Mus musculus: one gene and its partner. The protein of the gene in region 2 purifies or fractionates together with the protein of the main gene of each other region. This does not show direct contact. Links are inferred from orthologs where the notes say so. Each region holds a gene or a part of one and is shown on either strand. Other genes may lie near its edges.

What was found. Proteins that work in one complex are often made in the same cells at the same time.
Region 1: the proteins of Ift88 (region 2) and Hspb11 purify together in Homo sapiens (affinity purification with mass spectrometry; 3 studies listed by BioGRID and IntAct, with this or other methods). This does not show direct contact. The link is inferred for Mus musculus from reciprocal best matches to the Homo sapiens genes IFT88 and IFT25.

The regions. Positions count from the first base shown.
Region 1 is NC_000070.6:107,252,716-107,256,752, reverse strand, and holds the start of Hspb11 (intraflagellar transport protein 25 homolog), read right to left. Parts: upstream 2,851-4,037; 5' UTR 2,758-2,850; intron 1-2,757. UniProt on the Homo sapiens protein: Component of the IFT complex B required for sonic hedgehog/SHH signaling.
Region 2 is NC_000080.6:57,444,535-57,448,096, forward strand, and holds part of Ift88 (intraflagellar transport protein 88 homolog), read left to right. Parts: intron 1-1,030; coding exon 1,031-1,145; intron 1,146-3,006; coding exon 3,007-3,238; intron 3,239-3,562. UniProt on the Homo sapiens protein: Positively regulates primary cilium biogenesis. Also involved in autophagy since it is required for trafficking of ATG16L and the expansion of the autophagic compartment.

The sequences.
Region 1 (4,037 bases), on a different chromosome or scaffold from region 2:
CTATCAAATTATACCAAAGTAACTTTCTTTTTTTCCTCCTTGGAGTTTCTACCAATTAGGAACATGTTTGTTTCTGAAAATTTTAACAAATATTTTCAAGATACACTTTGGGCCAGGAAAATATAGGCTGAATAACAGACAATACTTCAACAATTACTTATAGCTCTTTGAATAGCTACACTCAGAGAATGATTATTAGCAAAACAAAATGAACATGTACTATTCGGCACTTCTTAAAATTTGAATTTATTTTTATAGCGCTAAGAACTAAACCCAGGGCTTTCAGAATGCTAGGCACATGATCTACTGTTGAGCTATAATCCCATCCAAAACTTATGTGGCTTGGCATAGTGGTACAGATCTATAATCAAAGCATGTAGGAGACTAAAAGCAAGATTATCACAAGTGGGCAGGGAGCCTGGGCTACATAGTAAACTCCAGGCCATCCTCAGCTACAGAATAAGATCCTATTGTCAAAGGAAGCGGGGAGCAGAATTAAATAAAGGTATTTGAAATAACATCATTGTTAAATATGGGCATAAGAAGTGTGCTTATCAATTCTGTAGACATGACAAAGCTGAGATGTCAGCTTATATGCTAAGTAATAGAACTGGCCCTCAAAAGAAATGCTGGAGGGGCAGGGGCGTATAATACAGTTGTATAGCCTGTGCTTAGCATGTTCATGACCCTGGGTTCAATGAAGGAGAGGGAGAGAGGCAAAAAGAAAGGGAGAGAAAGTGAACAAGATAGAACAGTTTCATTGGCACAAGGTTATATCCATCAATTTACATATTGTCTATGGCTGCCTTTGTATGGCAGAACTGAGTAGCTGTCACAGACTATAAAGCCTAAAATATTGTTTGGCCTTTTATGACCCTTGATCTAGATGTATTAAAATTTAACTTGTTTAGTCCATGACAAAAATCAACATAAGACAAGACTAAGACAAGACTGGCCCAAAGGTAAAATTTAAAAGTGTTATTTAAAAAAAAAAAAAGTATTATTTTAGATTTACTAAAAGTTAGGCTGAAGGTGTAGACAATGGGAAAGTGACACTGGGCAGGCATGGGCCCCAGGCCTGATACCCAACAGCCAATAAAAACGCAACTTAAGAAGTTAAAGAGGTAGCACATTCCATCAGTAAGGGGTCCACGGGTACTAAGGGCCCAGGCACTTATAATGCTGATACAGCAAGCTGATCACACACACACACACACACACACACACACACACACACAACTAGTGGCTGGGTGCTAACAATGTGATTCACACCTAGAGTACGGTGCTCAGTTCAGAACCTCTCAAAGACATGATTAAGGTCCATACTGTTCGGGGCAGATTAAAAAAAAAAAAAACCAACTCATAAGCATGCTCCTCCAAATGAATAAATGTAATAAACATTTTTTAAAACTTCCAGTGCCCCCTCCAGTTATGCATACATTAAAGATGTACATCCCCTGCAAAAGGTTGACAAAATTGTGGTGTTTTTATATTTTCTAGTTTTACTATCAAAATTGGTGTGAATGTCTCAAAACAGGTAAATACAGGATATATATCTCATGTGGATAAATAATGTATAAGGGAGCATAATACATTTTCAAAAAAATTACAAGTCAGGGGTGATGCCCCATATACTGTGTAGGTCAAGGCTGGAGGATTAGAAGTGAGTTTAAGGTTTTCCTGGGCTAGAATAGACCTGCTCTCAAAAAACCAAAATAAATAAAAGAGTTACCATCTAGGGAAATGTTCTCATATCTATGTATATAGTAGATGAATAAGATACAGTGTGTTCTCTTCAAATTTTCAGGTTTTTTTTTACCTTATTCTTAAATGATCTAAGGAAAAAGCAAACAAGCACTTTAATACAGTGAATATAAAGCACTTTAATAAAAAATGAATATACCTGAACTACCAATATCTGTTCTTTAAAACCAGGGGCAGAGATTTGGCTTTCATTAAGGTTTTGTTGCAGTTAATGAGAAAGAGGCAAACCAATCCCAAGAAACCCATAAAACCACCCAGCAGACATGTTTCCACACAGCTCCAAGATGGAGGTTTGAGAGGCAATGCTTGATCTAAGCGAGGATGAATACCCTCAGGGACTCTCTACCAAAGTGGTAGTAGGCTCTAGGACACCATCCATCCTTCTGGGTTTTACAGACAGGGACGGTGGATTCCCTACCCTTTCCCAGGGCCATTGATTTTCTCTTTAAATATACAGTGTAGCCCTTTCTGGTACTTCTTTCAGAAAACCTCTGGGTCACGTCCTGGGTTGATTTTCTCCTTGACCAGCACCTTTGGGTCTGTGTGCTCTTACATCTGCCTGCCCCAAATCCTTTCCTACAGCATCCACTGGTAGCTCTGGTGTAAATTTAAAACCGGTCATTCTCTTTCTCCCATAATGGCAGCCCGGACACAGTCCTCTCACCTCCAAGACTCAAATAATTTCAAATAACGTAAATGCACCCACATTGACTTTAAATATTATTCCTGTTTGAGGTTGGACCGTGCTGATAATGTGTTACGTTTGGCATATTAACTGTCATTTGTAATTGTTCTTCCTTCTGAGGGTCAAAGCATCATTTCAGGGCACTAAAAGTTCTTGGGGAGGGGGGCCTAGAGAGAGGCCAGGCCCTAATCACTCTGTTCTCTCCCAGCGACATCGCTGCTCCACCCGCGGTCACCCGCCGCGCGTCTCCTCACAACCGGTTCCTTCCCGCCCGCAACCCTCCGCCGGCCTCGCCACCGGGCTCCCACCTCTTCGGTGCCCGCCCACCGTGCTGCACGGACCCGCTCGCCTGGGCCTTGGGTAGCTCCGCGAAAGGACCGGGTCCGCTCGCGATCCCCGCCCGTCACGCCCCGCCCGGCCCTGGCCCCGCCCCGCCTCGCTTCGCTTCGCTCCCGCCCCGCCTCAGCCTCAGAGGAGTTCCCAGGCGCGCGCCCTGCGCAGCCCCGCCCCGCCCTCTCCTGGCAGGGGCTCCGCCTAGAAGCGCCACCTCACTTGCGCGTCTTTCCTCAGGACTACCTTTACATTGCATTGCCTCGGGGAGGTGGGGGGGCCTCCAAGAGATCTCGGGGGACATGCCCTCGCGCGGGCACGCACACGCACGGCCCCGCCCCGCCCCTTTCACCCTTCCTGCGACCGCCCGGCTTTCTCAGCTCGGCTGTCCCAACCCACTCCCGGCCCCGCCCCGCCACATGCCCCGCCCACTCCAGATCAGACCACGCCCCTCATGCCGGCCCCGCGCACGCGCGCCTACCCAGCCGAGTTCTTTTCCCCCCCCACCCCTCCCTGCTGGTACCTCAGTCCCGCGGCGCCAGGTCGCCCCCAGCCCCTCCCTCTTGCCACCCTCTGTGTGTGTCCCACCCTCACGGGCTTTGTGGCCTAGGTTGCCGAGCCGCTTCCCGGTCAGCCGCTCAGTGGAGGAAGGAGCCGCCAGTGAGGTGCAGCCGCTCGCTGCCCCGGGCAGGGGCACAGGTAGGTGGCGGCCGCGGGCCGGGCCGCTCGCCGAGCCTCAGGCAGCGCGTGGGTGCGGGGGCGGAGTGTGAGGGGCTGGGGGAGGGGAAAGGCCCTAGGGACGAGGTAGAGCTCGCGGTGGGAGGGGTGGGAGGATGAAGAGGTAGGGGTGCCTGAGGTGGGCTTAAGGGTGGGGTCCGCGGCGTCCCGGGTTAGACTGAGGGTGTGTGAGAATTTAGGGTTCTGGGCGGGAGAGGGAGCGGATTTAGCTTAGGTGGACTTGGGGAGAAGCTTGGGTGGGAGTGCCGGGAAAGGGGGAAAGAAAAGGGGTTGAGGAGTGCACCAAGGGAAGGAGCTAGGGTTGGAATAGGGGGAGGGGTGGGGCGGGGGGGGGCAGGGAAGAAACTAGTTGAGGCCGTGGATTGGGAAGTTGGAGATAGTGAGGCGTGAAGAAAGGGGAATCTGAAGGTTGAGGACGCAAAACCGGGAAAGAGATGGGGAGACTAGGGTGCTAAGAGGAACCTCGATGGTGAGAGGAAGACTCGTGAGGAGGGAGAGAAGGATGGGGGCTGGAGACGGG
Region 2 (3,562 bases):
TGATCTTTTCTTTAAGTAAATTTATATTTATGATGTGGTGTCCTGCTTGAAGATACTATGTGTGAAAACCTATACGAATACAAGAAGAAATGCCATTGCCATGAGATAAGTGGCTAATGCTAAACAGAAAATATATTCCAAGCTGGCGAGGTGGCTCATGCCTTTAATCCCAGAACTGGAGGCAGAGGCAGGTGGATCTCTGAATTCACCTGGACTATATAGGGAGCTCCAGGACAGCCAGGGCTACATAGTGAGACCCTGTCTCAGAAAAAAATAAAAAATTAAAATATTTTTTGTCCCATCATCATAGGAAGAAAGAAGCATGATAACCATAATGTTTCTTTCCTTATGTGACTGTTCTCAAGAGATGAGTGTACATTTATATTGTATAATTTTGTCATAATATTAAAATTTAATTAGTTTCCTTTAATATTAAAATTATGTAGCATTATTGAGTAACTTACAGATGTCTCATATTCCTTTTTTAAAGTGTGTGGTGTGTGTGTGTAAATACAAATGCATGTATGTGATGCTGTACTTGTGGAGACAGAGGACAGCTTGTAGAGTCTCTTCTTTTCTTCCTCTGTACATCCAAGTTGGAAGCAGCCCCTCATGCTTGCACAGCAAGTGCTTTTAGCGGGGTCTCTCCTGTCTCATGGTTTCCTTAGCATAAGTCTCATGCACGAGCACGTGACAGTGGTGTACTGTTTTGATGTTAGAATTTTATGTATAAAACTTCATAACAGGACCCATGAGATGGCTCAGTGGGTAAACGCTCTTGTACATATGACTTATGACCCAAGTTTAGTCCCCAGATCCTAGAAAGTGGCAGGAGAGAGCCAACTCCCATGAATTTTCCTCTGACCTACACATGTGTGCTATACCAGTACACATACACACGCAATACATTTAAAAACATTTAAAGCTTCCTAACTTGAAAAAAAAGTTTTAGAGAATATAGGCTAAGATTGTCTATAATATCATAGGAAAAGTACAAACATGAAAATGCTTTATACTTTTTTTTAATTAGGAAGACTGAAAGTGAATATGGGAAATATTTATTTAAAGCAGAGAAATTATTCCAAAGCCATTAAGTTCTACCGAATGGCCTTAGATCAGATCCCAAGTGTCCATAAAGAAATGAGGTAAGTGTAAAATATAGTGTCTAAATTTTAAGTATCTCTTCATAAATAAGATGACTATGATTTGCTGTCATTGGGCTGAGCATTTGAAGTGTTTATAGATGAGAGGTGTTAGGTTCATGTTTCAGATGTGGTATTTTGCTCTGTTCACCTGTGTCTGTTTGCACACACCTCTATAATGGCAAAATTAAGGTTAAAGGAATAGTGTATGATCAAGTAAAATAAAACTAAGCTAGCAGTGCAGCTGTTAGTAACGTTACACAGCTTAACACCAACACAGCCTTGACAACAGTGCTGACAGCACGGCAGACCACAGTACGTGGCTAGAAACCAAGACCCAGGGGCGCACTCCTCCTGCTGTGAGACAAGTGAACCTAAATGATCACGGTGGAATGAGAAGTTGGGGTGTTCTCTACCCCTGCAGTATTCAAGAGCAAAACCTGTATTTGTTGGTTTAATGTTCCCTAGGACATTTCGTTTGTGATAGTCCCTTTAAATGCTACTATTCAGCAAGTGCTACCTAACTTACACATTACTCTAGAAATACCCTTAACTCAGATAAGACCAAGAATTTGAGCATGTCAGGAAAATGTAATTTGGGGGCATATATTAAATGCTTAATAATGACTGAGGCAGTGGGTGCAGTAGTAATTTAGCCAAGGTAGTAACTACTGAGGACTACTCCGAGTTCTGTAAGGAAGGGAACTGAGGTGGGTTACATTCATGGAATGAGTGACCCTGATAACAGTCTGCTAACTATGAATAGACAATGAGATTATGTTCAGATATACTTAGAAAAGAGGCGGGATCACACCTGCTAGAATGACCCAAAAGGACAGGTATTGATGGAGATGCTGATAAGTTAGAAATTTTATGCAATGGATATGTGAAATGCTACAACTACTTTGGAAGACAGGCTAATCTTAAAAGGTAAACATTTACCATATGGCCATCAAGAAAATTTACACTATTTCAAAGGTTTATATGTGAATATTCATAGTAGCATTAATCATAGCACTAATCTAAAATTCCACCAGGTAGGCAGTAAATAAGAAAATATGGTATGGCCAGGTATGGTGGCACACATCTTTCATTCCAGTACTCTGGAAGCAGAGGCAGGCAGATCTCTATGAGTTCAAGGCCAACCTGGTCTACATAGAGTGCCAAGCCACCAAGGCAGCCAGGGCTACATAGTTGAGACCCTGTCTCAAAAAATAAAATAAAATATAGTATCTATGATATAGAATACTACTTAGTGGGGCTGGAGAGATGGCTCAGTGGTTAAGAACACCGACTGCTCTTCTGAAGGTCCTGAGTTCAAATCCCAGCAACCACATGGTGGCTCACAACCATCTGTAATGAGAACTGACGCCCTCTTCTGGTGCATCTGAAGACAGCTACAGTGTACTTAGATATAATAATAAATAAATCTTAAAAAAAAAAAGAATACCACTTAGTGATTTTAAAAGGTGGTGAATCACCAATACTACAGTATAGAGGAACCTCAGGATTGTGTCAGGGAATGAAACCCGACACTTCATAGGATTCTACTTATAGGCAATAACTAGGAAAGGCAGAGACAGGAAGTCAATTCGTGGTTGCCTAGTGCTCACTGAGGATGGGAACAAAGGGTTTCTTTTCAGGGTAATATGTGGTTATTGTCCTGCATATGTAAATACAGCAGTAATCACCAAATGTTGTGATCTCCTGTTACTCTATTAAAAGGCTTTTATAAATTAGAGAGTAAGATGAGAAAGAGGCAGGGAGGTGCAGCTCCTGAGCGTCAGAGCAGGATTCACACAGTTTAGGCTGGTCGGTGTCCCTCTTTGTTTAGCATTAAATAACCCGTGTTTTCTTTGTTTAGGATCAAAATAATGCAGAACATTGGAATCACATTTATAAAAACTGGTCAGTACTCAGATGCCATCAACTCATTTGAGCACATCATGAGCATGGCCCCGAGCCTGAAGGCAGGCTTCAACCTCATCCTTAGTTGTTTTGCCATTGGAGATCGGGAGAAAATGAAGAAGGCATTCCAAAAATTAATTGCTGTTCCGTTAGAAATTGATGAAGATGATAAATATATCTCCCCAAGTGTGAGTATGCAAATGAGAGTTAACAGCATCTCCTGCTTGTCTGTCTTTCTGTTTTTGTAAATGAGCTAATTGGAATTTCTCAAGGGGCAGTTGATATATTTCATTTGCTATTTAAATTGAGTTGAGAAAGGAACTCTTGAAATTGGGCTAGAAATATGGTTAAAACAGACCATGCAATTTAAGTCAAAACTTTAAAAAAGGAATCATTAAAAATAAGATTTGACTATACCTAGACCGTGTGACTATGGGATGTTTATTTCCTGGTTAGTTTTTGTCAGCTTGACACAAACTAGAGGCCCCTGGGAAGAGGGAGCCTCATCTGAG